7 linked regions of the Macaca fascicularis genome follow. The protein of the gene in region 1 interacts with the protein of each later gene in a pairwise test. Links are inferred from orthologs where the notes say so. Each region holds a gene or a part of one and is shown on either strand. Other genes may lie near its edges. The genes, in order: SGTA, NAXD, C2H3orf52, FXYD7, EVA1B, PLAAT4 and ZG16B.

The links.
Region 2: the proteins of SGTA (region 1) and NAXD interact in binary tests that used the Homo sapiens proteins (3 or more experiments, as listed by UniProt). The two-hybrid records come from large-scale screens. The link is inferred for Macaca fascicularis from reciprocal best matches to the Homo sapiens genes SGTA and NAXD.
Region 3: the proteins of SGTA (region 1) and C2H3orf52 interact in binary tests that used the Homo sapiens proteins (3 or more experiments, as listed by UniProt). The two-hybrid records come from large-scale screens. The link is inferred for Macaca fascicularis from reciprocal best matches to the Homo sapiens genes SGTA and C3orf52.
Region 4: the proteins of SGTA (region 1) and FXYD7 interact in binary tests that used the Homo sapiens proteins (3 or more experiments, as listed by UniProt). The two-hybrid records come from large-scale screens. The link is inferred for Macaca fascicularis from reciprocal best matches to the Homo sapiens genes SGTA and FXYD7.
Region 5: the proteins of SGTA (region 1) and EVA1B interact in binary tests that used the Homo sapiens proteins (3 or more experiments, as listed by UniProt). The two-hybrid records come from large-scale screens. The link is inferred for Macaca fascicularis from reciprocal best matches to the Homo sapiens genes SGTA and EVA1B.
Region 6: the proteins of SGTA (region 1) and PLAAT4 interact in binary tests that used the Homo sapiens proteins (3 or more experiments, as listed by UniProt). The two-hybrid records come from large-scale screens. The link is inferred for Macaca fascicularis from reciprocal best matches to the Homo sapiens genes SGTA and PLAAT4.
Region 7: the proteins of SGTA (region 1) and ZG16B interact in binary tests that used the Homo sapiens proteins (3 or more experiments, as listed by UniProt). The two-hybrid records come from large-scale screens. The link is inferred for Macaca fascicularis from reciprocal best matches to the Homo sapiens genes SGTA and ZG16B.

The regions. Positions count from the first base shown.
Region 1 is NC_088393.1:3,463,733-3,467,922, reverse strand, and holds the start of SGTA (small glutamine-rich tetratricopeptide repeat-containing protein alpha), read left to right. Parts: upstream 1-1,322; 5' UTR 1,323-1,363; intron 1,364-4,190. UniProt on the Homo sapiens protein: Co-chaperone that binds misfolded and hydrophobic patches-containing client proteins in the cytosol. Mediates their targeting to the endoplasmic reticulum but also regulates their sorting to the proteasome when targeting fails.
Region 2 is NC_088391.1:101,212,892-101,216,616, reverse strand, and holds part of NAXD (ATP-dependent (S)-NAD(P)H-hydrate dehydratase), read right to left. Parts: intron 1,283-3,725; coding exon 1,232-1,282; intron 1,156-1,231; coding exon 1,051-1,155; exon of another isoform or gene 679-1,050; intron 338-678; coding exon 217-337; intron 1-216. UniProt on the Homo sapiens protein: Catalyzes the dehydration of the S-form of NAD(P)HX at the expense of ATP, which is converted to ADP.
Region 3 is NC_088376.1:170,999,516-171,004,034, reverse strand, and holds the start of C2H3orf52 (TPA-induced transmembrane protein), read left to right. Parts: upstream 1-1,670; 5' UTR 1,671-1,689; coding exon 1,690-1,827; intron 1,828-4,519. UniProt on the Homo sapiens protein: Has a role in LIPH-mediated synthesis of 2-acyl lysophosphatidic acid (LPA). LPA is a bioactive lipid mediator involved in different biological processes, and necessary to promote hair formation and growth.
Region 4 is NC_088393.1:42,383,934-42,388,380, forward strand, and holds the start of FXYD7 (FXYD domain-containing ion transport regulator 7), read left to right. Parts: upstream 1-1,493; 5' UTR 1,494-1,573; coding exon of another isoform or gene 1,574-1,604; intron 1,605-1,812; exon of another isoform or gene 1,813-1,985; intron 1,986-4,447. Other genes in the region: FXYD1 (phospholemman), read left to right, coding at 722-771, 957-979. UniProt on the Homo sapiens protein: Associates with and regulates the activity of the sodium/potassium-transporting ATPase (NKA) which catalyzes the hydrolysis of ATP coupled with the exchange of Na(+) and K(+) ions across the plasma membrane.
Region 5 is NC_088375.1:198,586,434-198,590,720, forward strand, and holds the start of EVA1B (protein eva-1 homolog B), read left to right. Parts: upstream 1-1,351; 5' UTR 1,352-1,441; exon of another isoform or gene 1,442-1,492; intron 1,493-4,287.
Region 6 is NC_088388.1:10,869,319-10,872,387, reverse strand, and holds the end of PLAAT4 (phospholipase A and acyltransferase 4), read left to right. Parts: intron 1-565; coding exon 566-834; intron 835-2,111; coding exon 2,112-2,204; 3' UTR 2,205-2,429; downstream 2,430-3,069. UniProt on the Homo sapiens protein: Exhibits both phospholipase A1/2 and acyltransferase activities. Shows phospholipase A1 (PLA1) and A2 (PLA2), catalyzing the calcium-independent release of fatty acids from the sn-1 or sn-2 position of glycerophospholipids.
Region 7 is NC_088394.1:3,536,632-3,539,756, reverse strand, and holds the end of ZG16B (pancreatic adenocarcinoma up-regulated factor), read left to right. Parts: intron 1-655; exon of another isoform or gene 656-682; intron 683-768; 5' UTR 769-777; coding exon 778-847; intron 848-1,045; coding exon 1,046-1,148; intron 1,149-2,104; coding exon 2,105-2,441; 3' UTR 2,442-2,591; downstream 2,592-3,125.

The sequences.
Region 1 (4,190 bases):
GCAACCGACCTCCTTTCCTTTTATGTTTTTTGTTTTTGTTTCGTTTTGTTTTGGAGGGACTGGACGGAGTCTCACTCTGTCGCCCAGGCTGGAGTACCATGGCGCGATCTCGGCTCACTGCAACCTCTGCCTCTCGGGTTCAAGCGATTCTCCTGCCTCAACCTCCCGAGTAGCTGGGACTACAGATGCCCGCACCACGCCCGGCTAGTTTTTGTATTTTTAGTAGAGACAGGTTTTCAGCATGTTGGCCAGGCTGGTCTCGAACTTCTGACCTCAAGTGATCTGCCCCTTGGCCTCCCAAAGTGCTGGGATTACAGGTGTCAGCCACCGCGCCCGGTCTCACCTTCTTTATTTCTGCAAAAGAAATTAAAATAATCCACGCCATTAATCGTGCATGTATTTCGAGTAGGACAACAATGAATTGGGAGAACATTTCTGTCAATTATAACTCAGATGGTGATCAGTTTTCTGTCGTCCTTGGAAATTTCTCATCTCTCATCTCTATTTTTTTTTCCATATGTCTTGAGCACACCAAGCTTTTACATTGGCCTTCATTTTTGCTGTTCCCTGTGCCTGGGGTCCGTTTGGACTTTTTCCTATCCTTGAAATCCAAATCTAAAGGATGATCTTTCCTACCCATACCATACAACTTAGCTCCCGGTGGCAATCACACCACCTTCATTTTTTTTGTAGTGTTAGCTGTGAAATTTCTTGTTTATCTACTTATGTACTAGTTTATTAGTTTATAGTTCGTCTACCCCAATGCAAAATAATGACAGTAGACACTTTGCTGGTTTTTATGACTGGTTTGCAATAAATATGGAATATTAGGCACCTGCTGCCTACTAATGTTTCTATTCTCACAAGCGTCTCATAAATTGACTGCATGAAAGAATGCATTTGTGGGTGAGTAGATGGGTGGGTGAATAAATGAACAAAGATAGCGAGCGGACAACACTGACTCCCATTCATTGCGGGGCTATGACGCTCTGGAGTCCAGGTGGCCAAACGCGGCTGCACCACGTGGCCGGCCCAGCACCACGTGGTCAGCTCGGCGACCGGCTGGAGTCAGCCACTGTTCCACCGTGCACCGCTTCGTTCCCGCCCTAGAGGGCAAACCAGCCCCGACTTCCGGCCTCCATTAGGTCGTAGAGGTCAGTTGCCCTAACGACCAGCTGGTTCCCGCCTCTACGTTGCGTCACTTCCTTCCACGCCCACCTCGATCATTAACGCGCCTGTGCAGAAGGGAAGCAACCCGGGGAGCCCTTCTTCTGCGCAGGCGTCGCGCCCGGGGGCCGGGGCCGGGCGGCTCCGCGGTGCGCAAGCGCAACCGTCGGTGGGTCGGGGATCGGTCGCCTGAGAGGTGAGTGAGGGGCACTGTGCTGAGCCTGGCGGGTGTGGGGTCTGCGACTCGGGGCTCACGGGGCCCCAGAGCCCGTAAGAGGTTGGGGATCGTGAGGCCAGGGTCAGCGCGACCCGCGGGGTCCTGTGAGTAGGCGGAGCGGAGGGGAAACTGAGGCCGGGCGGCATCGGCAGGCCCTTCGAGCCCTGATCTCCCTTCCCCGGGCCCCAGGTCCTGGAAATGCTGGTCCGCGGACTGGTGGCGAGGACGGCTGGAGGGGAAGGCGCCCCGCATGTACTGAGCGCTCGCTGGGTGTTCGCTGCCGTTCCGCTCTTACTAACTGCCTGGAAAAGTCGTCCCTGTGACTCGGGGACCCCCGTTTGTGGGGACTCAAGTCGGGGCTCTGGTCCCAGCGTCGCCAGTCCCTACCTGGGTGACCTTGCCCAGCCTCTTGGCTTCTCGGAGCCTCAGTTTTCCCGTCTGTAAAACGGGCGTTGTCAGAAGTCCCTGCCTGGGAGAATGAGAGCCGCCGCAGGGTCCAGCGGAATCTGAGAACTCCAAAGAATTAGCAGCCGTTCGTCTTATTTCATGTTTAGAGTCTTCTTCTGCATATCGTGCTAGAGGTGGGGGAAATCTGGGATTCAGAACCAGCCCACCACCACCACCCACCCGCTGTGTAAACCTGGATGAGTTGCCTTCCCTCTCTGAGCAAACCTTCTTTTTCGTAAACGAGTTGTAAAAGCAGATGTCTGGGAGGGTCATTATGAGGATAAGCCCACATTCAATGATTTGATCAGGTGCCTGGAACTTGATAAGAGAGAGCTGGCTTGAGAACAGCTGTTTTTGTTATTAGGTGGCAGAAAATTGCAGTGCAATGTGCCTCTCAGAGGTTGGATCATTGTCCCGTTTACTTTTGCTTCTGTCTCTGATTATTCGTTCTCTCTGCCTTTTCCCTCCCTTGACCAGTGTGGTTCTCAACCAGGAACAATTCTGTGCCCCAGAGATTCTTGGTGACATTTGTGCTTTTCACGATTCAGGGGACCCCCTGGTTTGGAGTCGGTGGAGGCCAGGGTTGCTGCTCAGCACCCTGCAGTGCCCAGGACGGCCCCACCCCAGAAAACGATCCAACTTTGAATGTCAATAACGCTTTAAAAACCACACCCTACCATACGGGTGGATCACCTGAGGTCAGGAGTTCGAGACCAGCCTGACCAATGTGGTGAAACCCCGTCTCTCTTGAAAATACAAAACTTAGCTGGGCATGGTGGCGTGCGCCTGTAATCCCAGCTACTCAGGAGGCTGAGGCAGAAGAATCCCTTGAACCCAGGAGGCAGAGGTTACAGAGACCCAAGATCACGCCACTGCACTCCAGCCTGGGTGACAGAGCGAGACCCTGTCAAAAAAAACCAAAAAACAAAAAAAACCTACCCTAGATCAGTGATTCTTCCCCAGCATGGGCAGCTGGGAGTGTGTGGGCCCGGGAAATGGTATACAAAGTTTTGTGTGTGCACCCAATTTTGTGTGGCGAGAAGTGGGCACTTTGGAGTTTAGCTTCTCAAGTGAGGCTGCCTGGGTTCAGAACGCCTCATTTGCATCCTCCTAGCTGGGTGGTCTTGGGTGGTTCCCATCTTTCCAAGCCTCAGTTTTTCTTCTGTGGAATGGGGATTATAAAAGTAACCACCTCAGGTGTGTGAGGATTCAACCGGGCAAGGTATCAGCTAACCAGAAGGCCAAATCCACCTCTGGCCTGTTTTTGGGAATGAAGGTTTGTGGGAACACAGCCACACTCCTTGGTTTGCATGTTACCTGTGGTTGGTTTCGAGCTAAGAAGACACAGTTGAACAGTTGCCGTAGGGACCTTAGCGCCTGCCGAGCTGAAGACAGTCTGGCCCTTTTCAGAAAAACCTCTGCTGACCCCTAAAATAAGCTATCGCATGTACAGCACTTAGCTGGGTGCCTGGAAAGCTGTAAGCGCGCCAAGGATTTGAGCTGAGGTTTATAATTAAATCTTCCTAGAAGGGTGAATGATTCCAAATGGGGGTGAGCTCTGCCCCAGATTGGACGGATCCTTGAGAGCGGCAGTCTTACTCAATTCTATGGTTGTTTTTTTGCCAAGACCCAACAGTGGCCCTGGTAGGAAGTGCTCGGTACAGGCCGAAGGCATAAAAGGGGTGGTTTGAGATAAGGTCTTGCTCTGTCGCCCAGGCTGGAGTGTAGTGGCGCAATCTCCGCTCACTGCAGCCTCGACCTCCCGGGCTCAGGCCCTCCCACCTCAGCCTCCTGAGTAGCTGGGACTACAGGTGTGCACTACCACACCCGGCTAATTTTAGTATTTTGTTGTTTTAGAGATAGGGTTTCACCGTGTTACCCAGGCTGGTCTCAAACTCCTGGGTTCAAGCGATCCTCCACCTTGGCCTCCAGAGTTCTGTGATTACAGGCGTGCCTCACTGCACCTGGCCCGTTTTCTCTTTTACTGAGGTGGAAACAGAAACCCAGAGAGAAATGGCCTCCCCATTTCAAGGAACTTGACCACGTGTCTGTGAATTTTTCAACCATCGAAGGCTTTCCTGAGTCCATAGGGTTTAGACGCTGCCAGATGCTGGCGTTCAAAGGGAAGCTGGGTCTGTCAAGAGGTAGAAAGCCTTGTAAGAGATGCTGGGCCAGAGATGGAGTTTGCAGGAATACTAGATTCTCTCCTAGAGTTGGGCAGGAGAGGTGAGCACTTGAGTTTGAGTGGCACGTACAGGGTTTGGTGTAGGCCCCACAGACGACCCCCAGCTGGTGGGGGGGCCTCCTATGCACACTCCTGGGGTTCCAGGGAGCACTTGAGGGCTTTTATGTGTACAGT
Region 2 (3,725 bases), on another chromosome or scaffold:
TAAGGCCCATGGCTTTCACCACGGTCACCTCCCCCGGCAAAACAGTGAGAAGTCAAAACATGGACTCCGGAGAAGGTGTGGGTGACAGCAGGAATCCCTTTGTGCGAATGCGCGTGAACACGTGTGCACGGGAGAGGTCTTCCAGGGCTCGCACTCAGCACGGCCACGCTGACTGACCTGGCACCAGCCCATGCACAGAGGGCAGCCGCCACTTACCCTGCTGGCCATTGGAGAGGATGTCGCGCTCTCCTTTCTGGACCACCGTCACATTGCCCAGGGCCTGGCTGAGTCTCAGCACAGATCCATGGCGGTCATCGCTGTCCACAGGGCCTCTGAGCTATGACAACACAGGAAGACACAGAAAAAGCAAAGTCTTCCTCAGACACACGACACACGACGTGACGGATGGCCCTGTCCCGTCCGCCACGAGACGCACGCTCTCGTGCCTAAAGGGATCACCCAGGCACCTGCTAAAGGCCACGTAGGTGGAAGGAAGCCCAGAATGTCGCCTGCAGCGAGTCCTCCGGGCAGACGCCGACACGGTGCCTGCTGCAGTGCCCGTCCTCTACCTGGTCAGAGCAGGCTGAAGGAGGACCGCCCAAGGCTGGGTTCTGAGAGCTTTGTAGGAGTAATACGAATTCCAGTTGTACTGGACGCTAACACTGACGGGACACTCACCGTGTGGGACTCACAGCTTCACACAGGTTTCCTCATCTCATCCTCACAACCCCGTGAAGTAGATGCCATCATCACATTATAGACGAGGCACTCAAGACACAGAAAGTGATCTGTCCAGTGTGCTGCAGGAGGGGCTGGCTGACCCGAGTCCCTGCCTGTCCCAAGCCCACTACACCATCATTCATCCAATCCAAGAGCACTAATGCGAAGACGGGCCATCCACCGGGAGAGGCACAGCGATTACTTGCAGGTCTGCATCCCTGCAGAGATGTGCCCACAGGGACAGGCTGGGCAGAAGCATGGAGCGCGTCCTTCACCCTCTTCAGGACGAATGGGGCTTGCATCCACCCTCCAGGGAGTCCACTGACTCACCACAGCATCATACAGTCTGCTGAACTCCATGTGGTTGGGGGTGAGGACCGCCTTCTGGTAGCCTTGGATGAGGGCTGGCTGCTGAGCGACCAGCCACAGGCCGTCCTGCACAGAACAAGGAGCCGTGCTCACTGCACAGGCCTTCCGGGAGTCCGAGCCAGGAGGAGAGAGGTCAACTCACCGCGTCAATGACGACAGGGATGTCCCTGGCCTTTGATGCTTCCAAAATGCCCTGCCAGAAGAGAAAACCAGGCTGAGTACCACACCTGCTGCCTCTGCTATGGTGTGGATGGTGTCTCCTGAAAACTCACGGTGAAACTTAATTGCCAATGGAAGGGTCCTGGGAGGTGGAGCCTTTAAAAGGTGATGTGGCAGTGCCCTCATGGGTGGGTTTAATGACCTTTAAAAGGGGCATAAAGTGTCTCTCTCCTGCCCTTCTGCCCTCGCCAGATGGACATCCACCTCCAGAACTACGAGCCAGTAAGCGCCTGTTCATTGTCAGTTACCCAGTCGGTGGCACTGCTATAGCAGCACGAAACAGACTAAGACGCTTTTCCCAACAGCAGTGAAAGAACATTGAGCAGACTCTTAATTAAATGCAACATCAGGTCATCAAACAATAAATGGAAAATAATCAAGTAAATGAATAAAATAGAGAAGCAGAAAGACCCAATGAACTAGCAGAGCCCCTAAATAAGGCAGGACACTGGGAACTCTGAAAGGCGAAGCCCAGTGGAAATGCTATAAACAAGAGCTGGGCTCTTAGGCTAACTCATGAAGACACACCCCCCGCCCCAGCGAGGGCTTCCAGTTCTCCAACAGATACTAATCCGCAGCATTCGGAGGCGAGAAATCTGAATTCCTGAGAATTCCCCAAATCATTAGTCATGATGTATTTTTCATATCACTTTACTTACATATTTTAAAGTAGTAAGTGACAATAATAAACAGAATCATTTTTCCCTGATAGGATTACAGTGAAGGTGTCAAAGGTTTTCTATTAAAAAAAAAAAAAAAAAAACTAGATGTATAGATACATACACGTATATGTAATCAATATTTGGTGGCTTTTATTATTATGAACCAATATATTGTGATAAGATTATATGCCGCAGTAGCATGTAAAGTGATCTTGACTTGATAGACACCTGATAGTAGAAAACATTAAGATAGAGAGCATTAAACAAAATACATGCCAAGTCAGAATAATTTAAGGTATTGAAAACTAACGTCAGGTATGTGAAATGAAAGCTGAAAGCTGACAAAGCGTTAGCTGCTCGCCTAACGAAGCGCTCGTTCCAGCTTGTTTGTGACGCCCATTCCAGCTGTGGGGAAGCGTATACCTGGCTCTGACACGGGTCGGAGCATTAGCAGTGTGTCCTGAAGCCCGTTCCCAGGAGGTGGGTACCTGAGACTTCCTGAAGCTGCTTTCCTTTATTAACAATAAAAATTCTCTGCTTGCCCTGAGTTTGGCTTCACCGGTAAAGCCGGCAGGCTTCTGCTAGTTCAGATTTTAGATCAGCTTCTGATTTTGTGTTGCAGGATTTGGCAACAATCTGACATTTTCATCTGTTTCTGTGTTTTCTTTTAATGTATTCGCAAAGAGTAGTCAAAAGTGAACATTCAAACCCTGGAAAATGCAGTGTTACATGGGTCTCCTAGAAAGATACGTGCATCAGAGCACCCAGCGCAGCAGGGTGTCCCCACCCGTGGGAAAGCAAACCACGGTATGCTAGGGAGAAATCTGGAGGCATCTCTCCAAAACTGAAACGTCCATACTCTTCGATTCAGCAACGGAACTTCTAAAAATTTATCTTCTAACACCCAAAAGAGTGGATAAAATACATAGGTTCAGGACACCACTGATGTTAACACAAAAAAAGCGGAAAACAGTGTGAATGAACTAGTTAAACACACTGCAGTAGATCCGTAGTAAATTCTGATGTAGCTGTTAAAAATAATGAGGAATATCACATACCCTGCCGTGAAAGTCCCCAGGACACACTGTTAATGTGTGTGAAAAGAGCACAGTGTGAGGACCAGGACACACCGTTAATGCGTGTGAAAAGAGCACAGTGTGAGGACCAGGACACACCGTTAATGCGTGTGAAAAGAGCACAGTGTGAGGACCAGGACACACCGTTAATGCGTGTGAAAAGTGCACAGTGTGAGGACCAGGACACACCGTTAATGCGTGTGAAAAGTGCACAGTGTGAGGACCAGGACACACCGTTAATGCGTGTGAAAAGTGCACAGTGTGAGGACCAGGACACACCGTTAATGAGTGTGAAAAGTGCACAGTGTGAGGACCAGGACACACCGTTAATGCGTGTGAAAAGTGCACAGTGTGAGGACCAGGACACACCGTTAATGCGTGTGAAAAGTGCACAGTGTGAGGACCAGGACACACTGTTAATGCGTGTGAAAAGAGCACAGTGTGAGGACCAGGACACACTGTTAATGAGTGTGAAAAGAGCACAGTGTGAGGACCAGGACACACCGTTAATGCGTGTGAAAACAGCACAGTGTGAGGACCAGGACACACCGTTAATGCGTGTGAAAAGAGCACAGTGTGAGGACCAGGACACACTGTTAATGAGTGTGAAAAGAGCACAGTGTGAGGACCAGGACACACTGTTAATGAGTGTGAAAAGAGCACAGTGTGAGGACCAGGA
Region 3 (4,519 bases), on another chromosome or scaffold:
GAGAAAAAAAATCTCACATTTAGGCTGAACTCCTGCAATCAAATGAGGGAACTATGAGAAAAGTTTTCTGGACCCTGGATAAGGATGGGGGTGGGGAGATTCAGAAGTTTGAGAGGTCTCAGTGCTTCCAGTCAGGTCTGCATGTTTTTGTGACTACAGATCCTATCAAGATCTCCCTGCAAATTCCCACACCCTTCAGTGGTTCTAGTTCTTAATCAGTCTCCAGTCCCATTTAGGCCTAGGAGTGTTAACAGTGTTAACAGCTTCGTGCTATTGCTAGTCCCTGGGTACCTCACCATTCCTTGTTGATTCCCTTAACCCTTGCTCCTTGGTTAAAATTCCTGTTCAAAACTCCCAGCTGAGAATGCAGCCTGATTCTTGCAGGATCTGCCTGTTGGAGCAGAAGTCAGTGCAGGTCAGCAGATGAGTCACTGCAGACTCCCCTTAGCAGGCGGATGGATCCAAAGTTCAGGGGATCTGGTAGCAGGCACCAGACAACTGCAGACAGGATAGCTAGGCTGTGTCTCAACATCAGGCACTGAATATGCCAGACTTTTGGACTCAAGTCAACATATTTGGAGTGGAGCTGATTTATATGCTTCTTGTTAATGATCTGGTCTTAATGTGTGTGTGTGTGTGTGTGTGTGTGTGTGTGTGTGTGTGTGTGTGTGTGTTGCGTGGAGGGTGAAAATAAGGAACAAGACTATTCGGAACAGAAGCTTGAGAGGTGAAGCCCTTGGCCCAATCCACGCTGTGCTTAACAAACATAATTCCATGCTAACTAAACCGGAAGTTCTGAACTATAGATAGGGCGTCAAGGAGATTGTGTGTGCGCAGGAATTTTGTGTGTGTGTGTGTGTAAGGCCCCTCCCCTCAAAGATAAATAGTAATGGTCAACATTTATGAGTGCTTGCTGTGTCAATCACTGTTCTGAGTGCCTTGCTTACAGCAACCCTTGTAATCCTGGTAAAAACTATATTAGGAGGGTACAAATATTACACCACCTTTCCAGGCGAGGACATTGGCACAGAGAGATGAAGCCCGAGGTCTCACAGTGAGGAACGCCCTGGGTGGAGAATAACCCAGGTACACTGGTTTTAGAGTCCACTGTCCCCAGCACCACACAATACTGTCTCTGTGCCTGACTCTGGACTTGACGAGGAAGTGTGTTGGTGTATATTATTCACCTTCATATACTCAGAACCTAGCACCATGCTGGCACGAGGCATGGTTATTTCTTGATTGAATGAATGCACTTTTGCTAGACCGCGAGGACTGTGGCAAACCCCAACAACCAACAGTTCGTGGGCTTAGATCGCAAACTTTCCTCCGTTGGACGGTGCGGCCCGGCCCATCTTTTCCTTACCACAGCCCGACACCCAGGCAGCCCCTAAACGCAGATGGTCCGCATCTGCAGGCGCGGGGAAAGGCACAGCAGGCAGCGCCCTGAACAAACCAGAAAAACAGCCCTCGGCTCTAGAGCCCACTGCGAGCACGGCTTTAGGTGCTCTACCCGCTCCGGGGAGTGGCCGCCACTCACCGCTCGCCCCTCCTGTCGGCTCCGGTCGCTCCCGCCGCCCGAAGTCCGCTGCGCCCCGCCCAGTGGGTGGAGTGTGAGGCGGTGAGGTCACTCGACCCTCCTTGCGCTGTGGCCTCCCTCGGAGCGGCTCAGACCTTCTCCGCCCGCCCATGGACCTGGCCCAACCCTCACCACCCGTAGACGAGCTGGAGCTCTCGGTGCTCGTGCGGCAGCCAAACGAGCACACGCCTCTCAATGGTGCGGTCAAGGTCTTCCCTTCTTTGGACGAGGAGGCCCCCCCGGCCGAGGTAAGGTCCCCTTGGCGCTGGCCCTAACCTGCCAGCGGCGGGACAGTAGTAGGACCCGGGCCTGGCACCCGCGAGTTTCGGGTTTCCAGCCAGGCGGGGCGTCGCCGGCGCCGAGCGAGGGTGGGGCGCGCTCGAGTGCTCTGAATGGAGCCGAGTAACCGCGACACCTTTCGGCCGGAGCAGTCCCCTCCCCAGCCCCTGGGGTCGTCCAACCCCTCCGACCCCCGAGGCGCTTTAGGAATCCTAGGGGTGAGGTGTGGCCGCTCCTGTCTTCAGATACTCCGGAGATAGAGGTAGTTTTTTAAAGTTATGTAACTTTTAATTCAGTTTTTCTTTTTTCCAGTAGGGAGAATGAGAATGACAGATGGAGTATCCTCCTTCTCTAAGAATCTCTTAAGCTTTCCCCTTACCTTCACTGCCTTGCCGCGTCTCTCCCTTGCCTCCACCCACCTCGCCGCAGCTCCCAGCCCTCTTCCATGCCTACCATCCGCCAAGCACTTTCTGCCTTCTCCCAGCCTGGCCATTCGATTCTGCAGGAAGAGAGATAGGGGAGAGCACAGAGGAGAGAAAGCGGTCCGAAGGAGAAGGACTAGGGCTGGCGTGGGGATGGTGCGGGCGGGTCGGGGGGGCAGGTGGAGGTGAACTTGCCCTGCTCAATTGAAAGAAAATAAGTTCAAAGTTCTTGTCTCGAAGGATGAGACTTCGCCCACCTTGCTTTTACCTCCTCTCAATCCCTGGCAATTTTTAGGCCAAGCTCTTTTCTGCTTCAACCCTAGCAATGATGGAAACATTATTCGCTCTCATCAAAGACTTGTAAAACATCAGAGCTTTGACTTCCCAGCCATCCACCTTCTGATTAACTCTTAAGATTGGCTTGAGGTTTTCTGGGTACACAGAACTCCCCATATTGAGCCCCGACCTCATCTTTCTAGGCCCCACTCCTCCACCTCCAACTTTTTGGCTGCCCAGCTGTTGATTTTAGGGATAAGCAGGAAATTCAAAAGTTGAAAGCATTGCTTTTGCTCTACATTGATTCCTGGAACTATTGCAAAGTTTGCTTTTATAGGTACTCTGGAGAGTAATTTGGAAACTTCTTTCTGAATAAAATATGAATGCCACAGAAGAATGAAGGTTGAACAAAGATAGTCTGGTCACCAGTGCAAGTGGCCACAACTGTGAACTTGCTGTATGGGTCCTCCAGGACGGTGTCTGGGAATGGGAGTTGGAAATACTTGCCTCAGATTAGACAGACCCGGACACCCTAAAAACTCCCTAGCTTGGGACTGAATCCAGAGATCTGGTGACAGTTTCACCACTAAACAATGTGTCCCAGGGGCAAGGCTGTCCCGTAGTGGTAATGTGTGCCTACTCGGACTTCTGTGAGGCCCGGGAATGCCTTGTTGAAAACAGGTGATGGGTAGAACACGCCAAATCCATGCAGGGTTATCAGTATTCTGTAATTGTTTAGCACCTACCCTGTAGCAATGGTTGTTTCATGTTCCCATGACGTCCTTGTTAGTAAGGTATGTACAGATAGCCTAGACTTCTTTGTAAGTTAACTTTGTAGGTCACCCAATAGGAGAGCTGTCCTCAGTAACAGGATGGAGTGAAGGTGAAGGGCTACAGGAGCACTTGGAGTGTGTTCAAGGAATGCTTGGACTTTGTTAAAGGGAAATCTTTAACAAAGAAAAAAAAAGCATCACCTAATGTGATAATCATTCTTTTTTTTTTCTATAAAATAAGGTGAAGTGTATTTCAGTTAGAAAAGTCAATAAATATAGGCTTATTAAAAAGATTCAGACAAGATTCAGACACTTAAGAATTTTGTGTGTTGGTCTCTTTGAACTGTATATTAAGATTTCTAATTTTGCAATGTAGCTGAAGTTCATGTATTTTCATTCACCCTGTTTAGTGACTGTCTTGTGACAAATACTTTTGATGCATAAATGCATTTAATTATCACAGCTAACTTAAGAGGAAGGCATCAGTATTCTGGTTTGTCAGATTAAAGATGCTGAGTGAAGAAATTGAGGGAGGCTCAGAGGAGTTACCAAAATGCTCACGTTCCCTCAGTGGTGCCTCTGAAGCTTGAATGTATGTTTTTTAGATCTCAAAACTATGCTGTTTCTGTTGATTTATTCTATCTATCTATCTATCTATCTATCTATCTATCTATCAATCATCTATCATCTATCAGCATTTAATTTAAATATATGTCATATATAATTTATACTCATTTATTTATAGTTGCCTACATTATTAATTATTACTAATTTCTGTAAGTTAGGTAATTTATAATTAGGTAATTTAAGTGAGCTAGGAGTTGAGTGTCACATCTGGAATGATGGAGTTGCAGGTGGATGGGTGAGGAATCGGGAACAGTTCTGGAATGATTGGGAAGAAGACATCTCTCTTCTTCCTTGGAAGAGCTGTGATGGGAGAGTGAACAAAAGCAGTAGAAAGAACTTCTTTCCCTTTCTTGATGTGTGCTTGGCACTTGAGACAAAGGAATAGAAGCCGCTGAACTCTACTTTGCCTGCTGTCACTGTAAACATGGCAGTATGCTTGGATCAAAAGTGAAAAAGAAATTATGGGTAATAGAGTGAGGCTGGTTTTCTTTTATGGTTCATTACAGGGGCTCTGGCTCAGTTTTCAAATAGAAATCCCAGAGGCATTTTAAGAGATGGCAACA
Region 4 (4,447 bases), about 39 Mb from region 1:
GAAAAAACCTACCGCCCTTCCTGGCCGAGCTCCCAGCCTAGTGGAGGCGGTGGCCGTGGGTTCCACAGATAGAAAAATCACAAAGCGTGATAACACAAAGTGCAGGAAAGAAAGAACGGCGGTGAAATGAGATCATCTCACACGCGGCCCAGTTTAGCTTAGAGTCCTGTTCCTAGCTCTTTGATTCCTCTTCAAATAAAATGTTAAAGCATGTGTGAATATGTTAGAACAATTATAGATATTATCATAAGCAGTAGCTAATATTTATTGGGTGTGTACCACGTGTCAGATACGGTTTCACTTCCTCTGGGAGGGAGGTGCTGTTATTAAGCCCATTTTACAGATAAAGAAACTGAGACACAGGGAGGTAAAGTCACTTTGTTCAAGATCACTCAAGTGGAAGATGGGGGGTTCTGGGTTTCCAACCCAGGCCATCTCATGACAGTCTGCCAAGTCCCCTTGACTATCCCTCCCTTACCAACTTCACATCCCTGCCCCCAAATCCGCGGAGGTACTCACTGTTAACCGGCTTGGAAGCCCCCTGCAAAGCACTTAAGCTGCTCCTGGGTGCTTCTTATTTCTGGCGGACCCCGAGCCTGTTCTTCGTCCATATCTGGGCCTCGTTACACCAGTCTGGGAAAGGAGGCTTGTACTGGGGGTTCCTAGAAGGGCAGCCTCTCCCCCTTTCCATCCCGAAGTCCCTCTGCCTCTGTCTTCCCAGGACTGGGGAACCCGATGAAGAGGAGGGAACTTTCCGCAGCTCCATCCGCCGTGAGTCTGGGGAGACTGCGGGTATTTTGGGGAGAGGGCTGGTTCCAAGGACCCCTTTTCCTGGCCCTCCCCGGCTGCGTAGAGGGAGGGGCTATATCTGAAAGCAGAGGGCGGGGAGTTGCCCCGCCTGCCCAGGAGCTGGGGATGCCCCTCCTGATGACCCCCGATCTCCGTGTTCCCCCCAGGTCTGTCCACCCGCAGGCGGTAGAAACACCTGGCGCGATGGAATCCGGCCAGGTGCTGCAGCTCTGACACGGCGGTGGGAGGGAAGGAGGGAGGAAGGAAAGGCGGGAGAGGGAAGGGGCCAAGTGCCAGGGTTGGAGGGCGGCGAGGGGTGGTGCTGGACTTCCCCCCTCGCCTTTCACTCACCCTTTTCACCCCACAGGACTCCCCTGGCACCTGACGTCTCCCACGCTCCACCTGCGCGCCCACCGCCCCCTCCGCCGCCCCTTCCCCAGCCCTGCCCCGGCAGACTCCCCCTGCCGCCCAGACTTCCAATAAAACGTGCGTTCCTCTCGACAGCACTTTGTCGGTGTCGGTCCCTCAGCGCGAAAGCCCAGCGCCCCTGGGCCCCAGCAGGGGGCGCCCCACCCTAGAGGAAGGGGCGGGGACGACGGTGGTGGGCGGGGGCGGGGGCGGGGGTGGCCTGCACGGGGGCGGGCTCCCCGGGCCCCCATTGGCTGCAGGCCCCCCCACGCCAGGGCTCCCCCCAGCTCCCCCCCATATCGGTCCGTCCTGCTTCCAGCTGCTGCAGCGCGCCTTCGCCGCCAAGGCATCCAGCAGCCCCCTGCTCCGGCCCAGCATGGCGACCCCGACCCAGACCCCCACAAAGGGTGAGCGTCGTCTGGGGAGGGGGTTGCAGGGGGGCTCCGGGATCTGAGAGCCTAGGAGAGAGGGTGTCGGGAGATTCCAGCAATGGTAAGGCAGGGGAGTGGGGGGAGGGAGGTCTGCTCCTTCTGTGGGCGGAGGCCCCTGTAATGCAGCCCCCCGATCGCCCCTCCGGGTCTCTGGGACACCCCCTCCCCGGCGGGTGTCCTGTGCCAGACCTGCGGTTGGAGAGTGGCAGTCCCGGGAGAAGGGATGCTCGGACAGGTCGCTATGGCAACCGGGTGGCTGGTCCCGCACCGTGGTGGTAGCAGACGGGAAGAGATGAGCTTGCAGGGTGGGAGCGGGTGGGTCTGCGGCCAGAGACGTTCTGGAAGATTTCAGGGTCCCTGGGGTGGGCAAGGGAAGGGGAGGAGGTTCATGTCCCTCTTCTTTCCAGTGCTGTCTCCTAGGGTGTGTGTTTCCTGAAACCCTTGACAGCCAGGTTCAGAGGAAAGGAGTGAGAGCTGAAGGAAGAGACAGCGAGAAGGGATATAGCAAGAGATGGACAGGGAGAACCTGGAAGAGACAGAGACCGAGAGGCAGGAGATCCAGAGTCACAGATACAAAGACCCAGGAAGACAAATAGATGGACTCAGAGAGATTCCCAGTGGAGGCGAGTGGCAAAGAACGGTAGACAGAGATGCAGAGAGAGAGAGAGAAAATGAGAGCCTGGGAGATAGCGGGAATGAGACTGCTATGGAGAGAGAAGCAGAGAGAGGGAGGGAGAGAGACGGACCCATGGGGAAAGAGGGGAATAGAAAGAGAAGGAAGCAGTGTGGGGTGGGGCCCAAACCACTGCAGTGAACCCCCATGGGTGGGAATGGGGTGATGGGACCCTCCTTCCCAGCCCACAGCAGGGGTGTTTTCCAGTCCCAGAGGTGTACCTGGGTATGCACCTAACTGCCCCTACTGCCCCCATCCAGCCGCACACTGATTTCCATTCCACACCCATTAACCCAGTTATGCACCCAGTTGAACACCCACTTCCACCGTTGCCCCCTAATACCCCCCATTGCTAAGCCTGCTTCTGCAGAGGAGCAAGGCACAGACTGCTTCAAGAGGGAGCGGGTGCCCAGCTAGGGTCTCCAGCACTGAGGGCAGGGGATGGACCAGGGGTGTTGAGAAGCCCCTGGCCGTGAAGGGAACCCCAATTCCGCTTGGATGACTCCCTCCCTTCCGTGCTTCCCAGAAGGCGGGGGCTGCTGCACTGAGCCATATCTGCAGAATCCGAAGCAGGGCGGGGGGTGGGGGGGGCTGCAGAGGCTGGAAGCCACCCTGGGGAGAGGGGGCAGGGCTGAGGCAGCAGGCCTGGCGGGAGCCCAGGGCTTCTTTTTGCAGAGGTGGTGGTTAACAGGATCGATGGCAGCAGACGGGCAGAGGTGGGAGGACAGACTCCTCAACCCCACCTCCTCTGCCTCCCCCTTTCCCAGTCACAGCATGAGAGGGGACCGCGGGTCTCGGGAAATCCCGGGGGAGGAAAAGCATGTTGTGCATTGCAAACTGCTTAAGGAAACTAATTAATGAATTGTTGGGGAGCGAGGGGGGAAGAAGGGAGATTGTCTCCCTCCGCCCTGCCAGAGAACGGGCGGGAGAATTAGGGGTGAACAGAAGAGGGATGCATGAGCACAGCTGGGTCCGGGTCCCTGTCCCTGAAATGGACCCTCAGCTTGGCCAGAAGCCAGTCCTGCAGGGGCAACAGCAGGAGGTGCAAAAGGAGGGGAGAGGGTCAAGATTGAAACCCGCATCTTACACAGGACCTCACAAGGGACCCCACCCAGCCTGGGATGCCGGGACCTATCACCTCTCTTCACCTCACGAGATGCCCCAGTTACCATAGCAACCACCTCCTTCCTGATATCTCCTTGGCAGCTGGCCAGGAGTAGTGCACATTCCTTTGCCTGACTCCTGGCCCCACCCTTAGCCCAGCCACGCCTGGGGGCCCAGGTTGCTGGGGCAGCAGGGACCAGAGGAGGATCTCCTGCATGGAACACCAGATTCTGGGACAGGTGCTCACCCAGTGGGCTCCTGATAACTTTGGGGAAGGGCAGGTGTGTGGAAAAGACTAGTGAGACAATCCACCTTTTGCAGCCTCCTGCAGCCTAGGACCGCCTCATAATCATTCCTTCATTCATTCATCCGAGAAAACTTGGAGAGCCTTTCATAAATGTCAGGATGAACAGCAGCGATGAGTCAAACAAATTTACTCACTCTCTGGTGGGGAAACTTACACAGAGCACAAGGGACCCTGAGGCAGTGTTTCACCATCTTGGTGCTTTTGAGTATTACCGTCACAATTTTCACTTTATTCAAATACTCCTCACACTGCTATTTATTTAATTTTTTTCCTTCAAACGATTAGCTTTTTTACTTTTATTTTTTGAGACAGGGTCTCGCTCTGTCACCCAGGCTGGAGTGCAATGGTGCGATCACAGCTCACTGCAGCCTCAAAGTCCTGGGCTCAATCTATCCTCCCACATCAACCTCCCGAGTAGCTGGGACTACAAGGCACTCCCCGCTACACCCAGCTAATTTTTGTATTTTTTGTAGAGACAGGTTTTGCCATGTTTCCCAGGCTGGTCTCAAACTCCTGGGCTCAAGCAATTCACCTGCCTTGGCCTCCCAAAGTGCTTAGGATTACAGGCGTGGGCCACCATGCCCAACCCAGGATTAGCTTTTTAAAAACGATGAGCTTTATTTTATAGCACCATCACAACTGGAAAATTCACCATTTTCTTCTTCTTTTTTTTTTTTTTTTTTTGAGATGGACTCTCGCTCTGTCATCCAGGCTGGAGTGCAGTGGCACAATCTT
Region 5 (4,287 bases), on another chromosome or scaffold:
GTTCCATACCTGCCCCAGCAGCCAGCTGTCCAAATATTTTGCCCATTACATTTGGCCCATGCCTTACCCATGCTGGATGCTCTGCTGGGAGGTGCCCCACTTCCAATCCACCAGTGCCTCTCTCAGCTCTGGACCTTGTCTCTGTTCAGCCTCACTCTTGTCCCGCCACCCGTTAAGCCTCTGTTCAGGGCACAGATACCTCCTGGGCACCTACACGTGTCACTCTTACATTCAGCAAAGCACAAGACAGGAAGCTCCCTGCAGGCAGGGGCTTTGTTTTGCTCACCCTTACCTCCTCAGCACCTGGGTCTGGGCCTGGTACACCTTGGCACTCCTGAACAGTTTGGCGTATTGATCTAAACTTCTTGGCTGTGAGTTGGTCAATTTAAAGCAAAAAAAGTGCACTTTCTGGATTGCTGTTCCTTCACAGGTTTTTACTGTGAGCCCTGTGGCAGCAAAGGAAGGGGAAAGTACCAGAAGGATGGGTGGGACTAGTGCAGTCACACCGACCACTCGTGTGTCCCTGAAAGGTCAGACCAAATGACAGCTGAGAAGCTGGCATCCCCTTTAGCCACCCTGTCTCCAGTGTCCCTGGGAAGAGTCAAACCGGACCTGTCAAACTAGCGGAAGTGGGAAAGGAAGTGAGGAACAGTCTTGGTGGCTGGATTGTTCAGGCTCTGAAGCCAAGTTGGCCTTGACTTTCTCTGTCCCTCCGTCCCTCTTTCCCTCCCTCCCTCTCGTCCTTCTCTCTCACACCCCATGTCCAAGCCACTGCTACTCCTGTCGGCTGGCCCTACCTTCAGAACACAGGCAGAATCTAATCACTTGTCACAGCTCCACTGCAGCCACCCTAAGCCTCCATCTCTGGCCTCCTGGTCTCCCACTCTTCCCCTGCCACAGTCCAGGCAGCACGTGGTAGCCAGAGTGAGCCTTCAAAAACCCTGATTGTGTCCCTCTTCTGTTTACAACCACTCCACGCAGTGGTTCCACTCCACGCAGGAGAAAATCCAAAGGTCTGTGTGGCTTATAAAGCTCTACACCGTGAGTCTGCACACCTGGGTACCTCCCCACCTTCCCAGCCCTTCACCCCTCACTCTATTCCTGCTGCTCGGGCCTCCTGCTCCTGAGCAAGCCAAGCGTGCTTCCGCCGCACGGCCTGTGTACAGTTAGCCGAGAGAAAGGACGAGTAGGCCCAAAGTCAGGCGAGCCATTTTTATCTGTCCTGCCAGGCTGCTCCTTGACAGGCAGGGGAGGCAGCCCCACTTACAGACTGCAGCAGGGCTTCACAGGGCGAGGAACTGGGTCGAGGGGTGTGAACCGAGTTGGGCTGCAGGTGTCTTGATTGCCTCCTGGAGATGGTTTTGCCAGCTTTAGTTAGCAGGTGTTCTGACCGCATCTTGGAACCGTTTGCCGGTTCAGCTGAAGTGTTCCGGACAAACAGGTACTCGAAGGGTCAGTTGTGGCGGGGAGTTTGCCGATAGCCTTCGGGGAGCTGTGCGGAGGTCACAAAGGACTGTATTGTAAGACCCATGGGAAAGGAGAGGAACAGTCTGGTCGGGGTGACCCTAACATTCCAGCCTTTTAATAGATGATAGAAAAGGGGGTGTTGTTCTCATCAGGCTGCTTCTGGCTGAGAGGGAGTGGTGGTTAGGGGGAGAGGCTGGAAGGTAGGGGTTAGTTTTGGTTCTGGCTTTGAAATTGCTGGTATTCTTGGAGTAGCATCATGTCTTGTATGGTTCCGTGGATAAAGGCTCAGATGCGGTTCTGTAAAAACTTGGGTAAAGAGGCCGGGCGCGGCCGGGCGCGGTGGCTCACACCTGTAATCCCAGCACTTTGGGAGGCCGAGGCGGGTGTATCACGAGGTCAGGAGATCAAGACCATCCTGGCTAACACGGTGAAGCCCCGTCTCTACTAAATATACAAAAAATTAGCCGGGCGCAGTGGCGGGCGTCTGTAGTCCCAGCTACCCAGGAGGCTGAGGCAGGAGAATGGCGTGAACCTGGGAGGCAGAGCTTGCAGCGAGCAGAGATCGCGCCACTGCACTCCAGCCTGGGCGCCAGAGTGAGACTCTGTCTCACAAAAATAAAAATAAAATAAAAATAAAAACACTGGATAAAGAGATGTAAGAGGCTGGACCCAAAGATTAGGAAAAGGAGAATGAATATGACGGGTACAGGGAGTGGGAGTAGCCAGGAGGCCCAGGAGCTGAACGGCCATAGGGGCCAGGAGGGGCCACGTGGAAGAGCTGTTTTCCCGGATTTTTTGAGCCCAATCCTTTAATTTTTTTTTTTCTTTTTTTGAGACGGAGTCTCGCTCTGTCACCCAGGCTGGAGTGCAGTGGTGCTATCTCGGCTCACTGCAAGCTCCGCCTCCCGGGTTCACGCCATTCTCCTGCCTCAGCCTCCCGAGTAGCTGGGACTACAGGCGCCCGCCACCTCGCCCAGCTAATGTTTTGTATTTTTAGTAGAGACTGGGTTAGATAGGATGGTCTTGATCTCCTGACCTCCTGATCTGCCCACCTTGGCCTCCCAAAGTGCTGGGATTACAGGCGTGAGCTACCATGCCTGGCCAGTCCTTTCTTTTTTTTTTTTTTTTTTTTTTTTTTTTTGAGACGGAGTCTCACGCTGTTGCCCAGGCTGGAGTGCAGTGGCGCGATCTCGGCTCACTGCAAGCTCCGCCTCCCGGGTTCCCGCCGTTCTCCTGCCTCAGCCTCCTGAGTAGCTGGGACTACAGGCGCCCGCCACTGCGCCCGGCTAATTTTTTGTATTTTTAGTAGAGACGGGGTTTCACTGTGGTCTCGATCTCCTGACCTTGTGATCCGCCCGCCTCGGCCTCCCAAAGTGCTGGGATTACAGGCTTGAGCCACCGCGCCTGGCCAGTCCTTTCATTTTTTAACTGCATCTTGAACCAGGCCTGCCTGATTGAAATAGAAGCATCATTCTTCATCTAGGCAGAGGCAGAGACCTCCTTTTTCTGCGGTAAGTAAATCGAGGCCCCTGAGGTTTTGAAGGCCTACTTGCGGCTAGGGAGTCTAGTTGGGCCTGCAGGGTTGATACAGTGGATGCTGGGTCATCAGTGTTATCGGAGGGGTCCTTGGATAGGGATTTGTAGTAATAGGTAGAGGCTGCAATTCCTGCAACTCGAGTTCTTGCAGCTGCTGTAATGCCTAACCCTATTAGCAGGGGTATGAGCTGTATGGCTCGGTGTCTGCGGGATAGTGTTTGATTGTGGAAGGGTAGGGGTCTATCCGCAGGGGCTATGTCTATTTTTGGACTAAAGAAGACTAGTGTGCAGGTTCCTATCCAGTTAGTGGGTAAGCAGAGATAGGTGGAAGTGCCGCAGAGAAAGAATATGCCCTGGCTAGGAAGGCAAAATTGGAGTTCTGTGGCAAAGAGGGGCTTTAGGATTTTGTTTTCTGACCACCAGCCAGAGAGAGAGGAAGACAGGGCCGCCGGGGTGAGTGGCTGGAAGGGGCGGGTTGAGGTTAGTTGGCTAGCCCTACTGTTTCGTTTTCCCAGTGTAGGAGGAAACATTGTGTGTCCACTAAAAGTTGTTCCCCAGTGGGGGCTCTGGCTACCTGAGTTTGTAGACAATTGGAGGTTGGGTGCGGGCTAGGGCACGCAGTCCATCCTGCAATTGTCATACCGGGTTTGTGTCGATCGATGCAGAAACCTGAGTTTATTGTGTTGAGATTAGTGGTTTGGATTTTTGGGGGGCCAGAAAATTTGAATACTTGAGTGGGATTGTATATTGTTAGCACCTGGATACCAGCAGGTGGGGTGAGCTGTAGGATGTAGTTGCATGAGCCTGTGGGGAGACTGCCTAAAGGGGTTCCTGAGGGAAGGTCACGCAGTATACAAAGGGGTGCCTGTTGGTCTAACTTGGTATCAGATGTAAATGCCCCTAAGATAACTTTGTTCCTGGAGGTGGAGGGGGTGAGGTCAGTTTTGTAACTTTTAAGTGCATTTACCCCTCCGGAGCGTTGATAGCGAGGATGGAGTGTCGTGCTGGTGAGGGTCCAATCTTGAAGTGGGACCGAGAAGGCATTTTTTGATATGGTTTCTGAGGGGCGGACACAAAACCAGCAGTTTTGTGCGAGGTCAGGATTGGTTTGGTTAAGTATTGTGTGTGCCTGTTGGATGGTTCGTTGTAGATGGAGTGGTAGTGAGGAGGAGAAGGGAAGGAAGACTAAGCAGGCAAAGGATAAGAGTGAAAGTGAAGAAATCGATTTCATCTGGGCTAAACTCACACAGGGCCCTTTGGAAGGTGAAATCAGTCGCCCAGTTA
Region 6 (3,069 bases), on another chromosome or scaffold:
GGTAACTGAAACAGCGGGTACTAAACGAAGTGGATCTTTTTCCAAAACACGAGTGTACAAAGCTGAACAGGTAATAAATATGCTTTACCATCATTGCTTATAATGATGAAAATTTTTCCAATGCCTAAATGACTGATAACAGGGGATTGGCCACAGAAGTGATGCACATGCATAGCATGGAATATGGTAGCAGCCACTGGCAATCATGACATTCACTGACTTGAACAAACATTCACACCTTATTTGATTAAAAAAGAGAGAGCAAAATCTATTAGCTGGGCGTGGTGGCCGGCGCCTGTAGTCCCACTACTCGGGAGGCTGAGGCAGGAGAATGGCGTGAACCCGGGAGGCGGAGCTTGCAGTGAGCTGAGACTGCGCCACTGCACTCCAGCCTGGGCGACAGAGCGAGACTCCGTCCAAAAAAAAAAAAAAAAAAAAGCCAAATCTGTGAATCCTCCAGTCACATTTGTGAAAGGATAAACAGCAGTAGTTCCCTAGTGGAGATTTCAAGCCCTTCTCTCCCTACTTCACCTTCCCCTGCCAATGAGAATGCCTCTGATTGCAGATGGGTACCCCGCGGCTAGCTCCTCCAGTGCCTTCTCAGTCCCGGGCGGCATTGCAGTGGTGAAACAGGAGCTCCTGAAAGATGTGCTGGAAGGCTGTAACTATCGGGTCAACAACAGCTTGGACCGTAGGTTCAAACCACTGCCCGTGGGGGTGATCATCAGTTCTGCCAAGGAGTTGGTTGGTCAGAAGATGAAGTACAGTATTGTGAGCAGGAACTGTGAACACTTTGTCACCAAGCTGAGATATGGCAGGTCCCACTGTCAACAGGTAAGGATCTCTCTGGATAATCCATCTCCCCTGGGGAGGTCTGCTTGGGGCTGGACTCACTGGGCTATGCAACCAGGCGATCACCGTGAATGATGCAAACGCAGCCTCTTGGAGACCCACTGACTGAGAGTCAGGACCTCTGAGCTCCAATGCCAGATCTGCTTCTAATCCACAGAGGGTCTTTGGACAGGTCCCTTCCCCTCCAGGCCTCTCCATGTGCAGAGTGGGTGGATGGAGGACCTCTGAGGATCCTTCCCCTCTAAACCCTATCCTGAAAATGACTCCTGAAGTTCTAGGGGTCATCAGGAGAATCTGGGCCAACCCAGGACCGTGACAGGTCCCACAACCCCCCAAAGAGCACTTAGGCAAGGGACGCTCAGGGTCCACCGACCTGTGTAAGAGCTCAAGGACATTTGTGTGTAAGATCTGCAGCCTCTATCCCTTGCCTCTTCATAGTCTTTCACATTTGTTGCCCCAAAACACACAACTAATAAGTGGCAGAACCAGGATTGAAACCCGGGCTGTCCTTTCTAGAGTCTGTGCCTGTGATGCCTGCCGTGTAGCAGCTCAGGGCCCCTGGCCTGCGGGACTGAATGGATGCGCGTCCTTGATGAGATGGGGATGATGGCAGGAGGAGAGGCTTTGGGGAGGGAAATCGAGAGTTTGGCGTGGCATGTGATGTCTGAGGTGCCCATTAGAGGCCCAGGTGGAGATAAGGCATGGAGTTGGAGTTTAGGCTGAAGTAGAGCTGGAGATGGAAGTTTCCAGGCTGCAGTTGGGAATAGTACACAGTGACCCCAGGGCACGCATATGGCCATGGCCTCCCTAAGTCTCCCCTCAGCTTCTGCCACAGCCCTCCCTGTGCAACGGTGTAGCTCAAGGAGGACTCAGACTGCAAAACAGTCCCCAGTCTGGCCCCTGGAGCTCTGGCCCTAGGAAGTGAGGCACAAACCTTCTTCCTCGCCGCAAATCCGAACAAATGTCCTCACCTGGAAGCTCTCTCAAAAGGATCTCATGGGCACATTCTAAGGACAAGCCCAGATAAACCCAACACCAAGAAGTGGTCACAGCCCAGAAAATGGAGTCCCTGGGGATACAGCCAACGGCTTCTCTGGGAGAGGATTCTGAGCCAGTCAGCTGGGAGAGAAAAGAGGAGATGCCAGGCCGTAGGGGAGGCAGGAGAGAGGGGAGACGGGGAGGAGTTCCAGGCCCTTGGGAGGGAGAAAGTGCCAGCCTGGCTTGCTGCGAACGCTCAACAAAAGCTGCTTGCTTTGCAGGTGGAAAATGCCGCGGCTGAAGTCGGTGCGTTCGCGATGATTGGAGCGGCTGTTGCTGGATGCTCTTTTGCGATTATGAAATACCAAAAGTGACAGCCTGAAGCAGCCACAAAATCCTGTATTAGAAGCAGATGTGGGGGTCCCAGTGGAGATGTGGGGGTCCCAGGCCTCCCCCACACCTCCAGCAGCCTGACCCTCGTGCTCTGTCTCAGGCTCTCTCTAGATCCTTTCCTCTGTTTCCTTCTCTCGCTGGTGAAAGTATGATCTAATTGAAATAAGATTGAAGGATCAATAAACAGCCATCTGTCCCTTCAGAAAGGAATTCTACCATGTTTTTATAGACTTCTGAATCACAAAGGAGGAAAGTAACATTGAGTGAACACCCACTGGATAGTTCCAGCAATTTCCAGCTGGGTGACTTTGGAGAAGGCTGTTGATTCTCTGAAACTCATTTCTTCCATGTCAGGTGATGTCAGGAGGATCACCTAAGATAATGCATACACGGCACCCAGCCCCATGTCTGGTACGTAACAGATGTTCAGTGAATTATCTTTATCATTCTACACAGACATAACATTGACGTAATTGCATGTCATTAATTTTACTCTCAGGGAGGTAAAAAAAAAAAAACTTAATTACCTCCCAGTATAGTCTCATGTGGTGCTTAAATCCACTCACAACACCTACGCATCTACCAGCATCTTCCCCGTTCCCTTCCTCAACTGGCCCTCTTTTTAGAAAGTTTTTTGTTTTTTTTTTTTTTAGCTCAAAGGTCTGAGTTCTCACCCACCTGTGACTACTAGATGGAGTAATATTCTTTCCAAGCCCAAATTGCCATGGCTCAAGCTGGTCCTGGGTGGAATGCTGAGAATTAGCTACCTCTAAATCTCCCTCCACTACTTCCAGCATGCCCTGGGTGTGGCTCCGGAAGTGCCCAGCTCCCCATGTTTCTGTGCTT
Region 7 (3,125 bases), on another chromosome or scaffold:
AAGGACTGCACCTTTGGTGTCCTTCCCTCCTATGATCTCTGAGCCCCTGAACACTGGCTCATACCCGCTCCACCCAGATGCAGCACAGAGGAGAAACCCAGGCAGCCTCCAAGGGCAGTGCCTTGAGGGCCAGTGCCTGGGGCACCTGTTGCACAGGGCACAGGACACAAAGGGCTGGGTGGTCCATTCAAGCTCTCTTGGGGCCTGCATCGAGCTCAGCCTGGGTCCTAGGAAGCCTGCCAGGCACCAGGTGCTGCTTGAGTCTGAAGGAGGCCCTGACTCCAGGTCGCCCACGGTGGCAGGGGGCCCCACGGAGCTTTTGTGGACCCTTGACCTGTTACCCTCGGGTGGAAGCCAATAAGCCAGCCTCTCCCCAACTCTGCCATCCAGGTCGGCACCAGTGTTGACTGAGAGAGCCCAGAGGTGATCGTGAAGTGCCTGTCACTGTCCCCAGCTCTGTTTATGTAGGCTGCAGAGCCAAGACAGCAAATGCCACACGTCCGGGAGCCTCCCCAAGGCCGGCCCTGGGCCTTCCCCCAGGAAGAGCCCCACGGCCAGCTCCTTCCTGTCCCCCTGGTGGCCCCTTGCTCCTTCCTTCTGGATGGGGGCCCAGAGGGCCCAGGAGAGTATAAAGGCCATGTGAAGGGTGCCCAACACAATCAGACACCCAGTCACAGGCGAGGTAAGGTGCTTGGCTCCATGGGTGGGGCCCAGCGAGGCCACACTGGCCCTTGCTTTGGAGTCAGGAGGCCTCTCTTCTTCCCACAGAGCCCTGGGATGCACCGGCCAGAGGCCATGCTGCTGCTGCTCACGCTTGCCCTCCTGGGGGGCCCTACCTGGGCAGGGAGTAAGTCGGTGGAGTCTGCCCTCAACCTCCCCTGCCTCCCTCCAGGAGAGCCAGGGCCTCACCCGGCCCTTGTCCCAGACTAACTCTGGTCACAGAACCATCCTGTCTGCCTGGAGGGGCGGGGTCCCCTGTTCTGGCAGAGGTTGCCCCCATATCACTGAGTGGGGATTTTCTTCCCTTTTGTTCTCTTTTCTGCAGAGATGTACGGCCCTGGAGGAGGCAAGTATTTCACCACCACTGAAGATTACGACCATGAAATTACAGGGCTGCGGGTGTCTGTGGGTCTTCTCCTGGTGAAAAGGTGAGTGAGGCCATGTCCCCACCCATCCCACAGTTTTAGGAACTCGGGGCAGCCGGTAGGCACCTGTAGCCAGTTTTCCCACGCATGCCTGGCTCCCACCGATGCTTCATGGCTTGAGCAGAGGTCAGACCGTCCTCCCTACCTTCTCCCTTCAACCCAAGCTCAACTCAACCAAAAATGACCTCTCCGTCCCCATGCCTGATAGGAAAGTCAGGGAAAAGTCTGTCCGATTACTGTCAAAGAAGACAGGAGGTAAGGGTCAGAGTGGACCACTGACTGAACATGAGTCAGCAGAAGTGTTAGAGGCAGAAATCCAGGACCATTTCCTTCATATCGAGGTGTCTCTGCTGGAGGTCTGGGATGGATTTTTGCCCTGCACTTAGGAGTTCTGGGGTCCTGGGAGAGGGGAGAGAAGCCCAACAGCAGAGGAGACTGTGTGAGCATGGCGAGCTGGAGGGGTGCGTCCTAGGAGAGCAGCAGGGTGAGGGAGGGATGCAGATAAGCCCCGTCGGGGAAGTGCCGGTGAGTGTGGGAAGTCACCTGCCCCTCGGTCTGTGAGCTGCTCTGCTCAGAGTGACTAAGGCTGGGGAGGTCCAGGCTCAGCCAGAGGCAGCTCATATGTGGGCCACAGTGACGGCAACTGGTGCCTTCTGCAGTCACGTGGACCAGGCACTGCGCGGAGCTCTCCTCGCCTGGACCTCAGTGACTCCTCCCAAAAATCACATCCACTTTGCAGATGGGGAAACTAAGTCCGAAGAGGCTGAGTAATGAGCTCAAGATCACAGGGCCTGAAAGTGGTAGAACCAGGGTTGGTGACCAGTGAGTTTGTGTCAGGGACCCGAATTCTGATGGCGCTGGACTCTCTGCATCCTGGGAAGGAGGGTGGGGGCGCTGAGGACCCGGGATGTGCTGGGCCATCCCAGATCTGGGCGTCCAAAGCTTTGCCTCTCCCCCAGTGTCCAGGTGAAACTTGGAGACACCTGGGATGTGAAACAGGGCGCCTCAGGTGGGAATACCCAGGAAGTCACCCTGCAGCCAGGCGAATACATCACAAAAGTCTTTGTCGCCTTCCAAACTTTCCTCCGGGGTATGGTCCTGTACACCAGCAAGGACCGCACTTTCTATTTTGGGAAGCTCGATGGCCAGATCTTCTCTGTCTACCCCAGCCAAGAGGGGCAGGTGCTGGTGGGCATCTATGGCCAATATGGACTCCTCGGCATCAAGAGCATTGGCTTTGAATGGAATTACCCACTAGAGGAGCCGACCACTGAACCGCCAGTTACTGTCACATGACCATCAAAGGCACCCTCGGGTCTCTAGGGTGGGGTACGGGGCCATCTGAGCTGAGGCCATCCGGGTGGTGGTGGCTGATGGTACTGGAGTAACTGAGTCGGGACGCTGAACCTGAATCCACCAATAAATAAAGCTTCTGCAAAATCAGTGCATCCAGGATTGGTCCTTGCATCTGGGGTACAACCAAACCCTCCCCTGCTCCTTGGAGACAAAGGCCGCAGTGCTGGAGCCCAGTGAACTGAGATGAGGGATAGGGCAAAGGTGACTCTGCCGAGGACAGAAAGAGAGCAGCACCACCCCCTCAGGGGTGCTGTGGGTCTCTGTGCCAGTCCCACAATCTTTGAAGAGTCAGGCTTCAAGGCCACCACTCCCCACTGTCCCTCACCCCAGGCCCATCCAGCGGGCCTCTTCTGGCCACTCAGTCCCAGGCTTCTCTGAGTGTTCAAGGGGCCTCAGGGAAGCCACTCACTCACCCATTCACTCAGTAAATGTTTGCCAAGGCCTTGTCCTCACCAGGCTCTCCTGGCACTGGGGGGTATAAAGAAGAGGCCAGGCCGGGCGCGGTGGCTCAAGCCTGTAATCCCAGCACTTTGGGAGGCCGAGACGGGCGGATCATGAGGTCAGGAGATCGAGACCATCCTGGCTGACACGGTGAAACCCCGTCTCTACTAAAAAATACAAAAA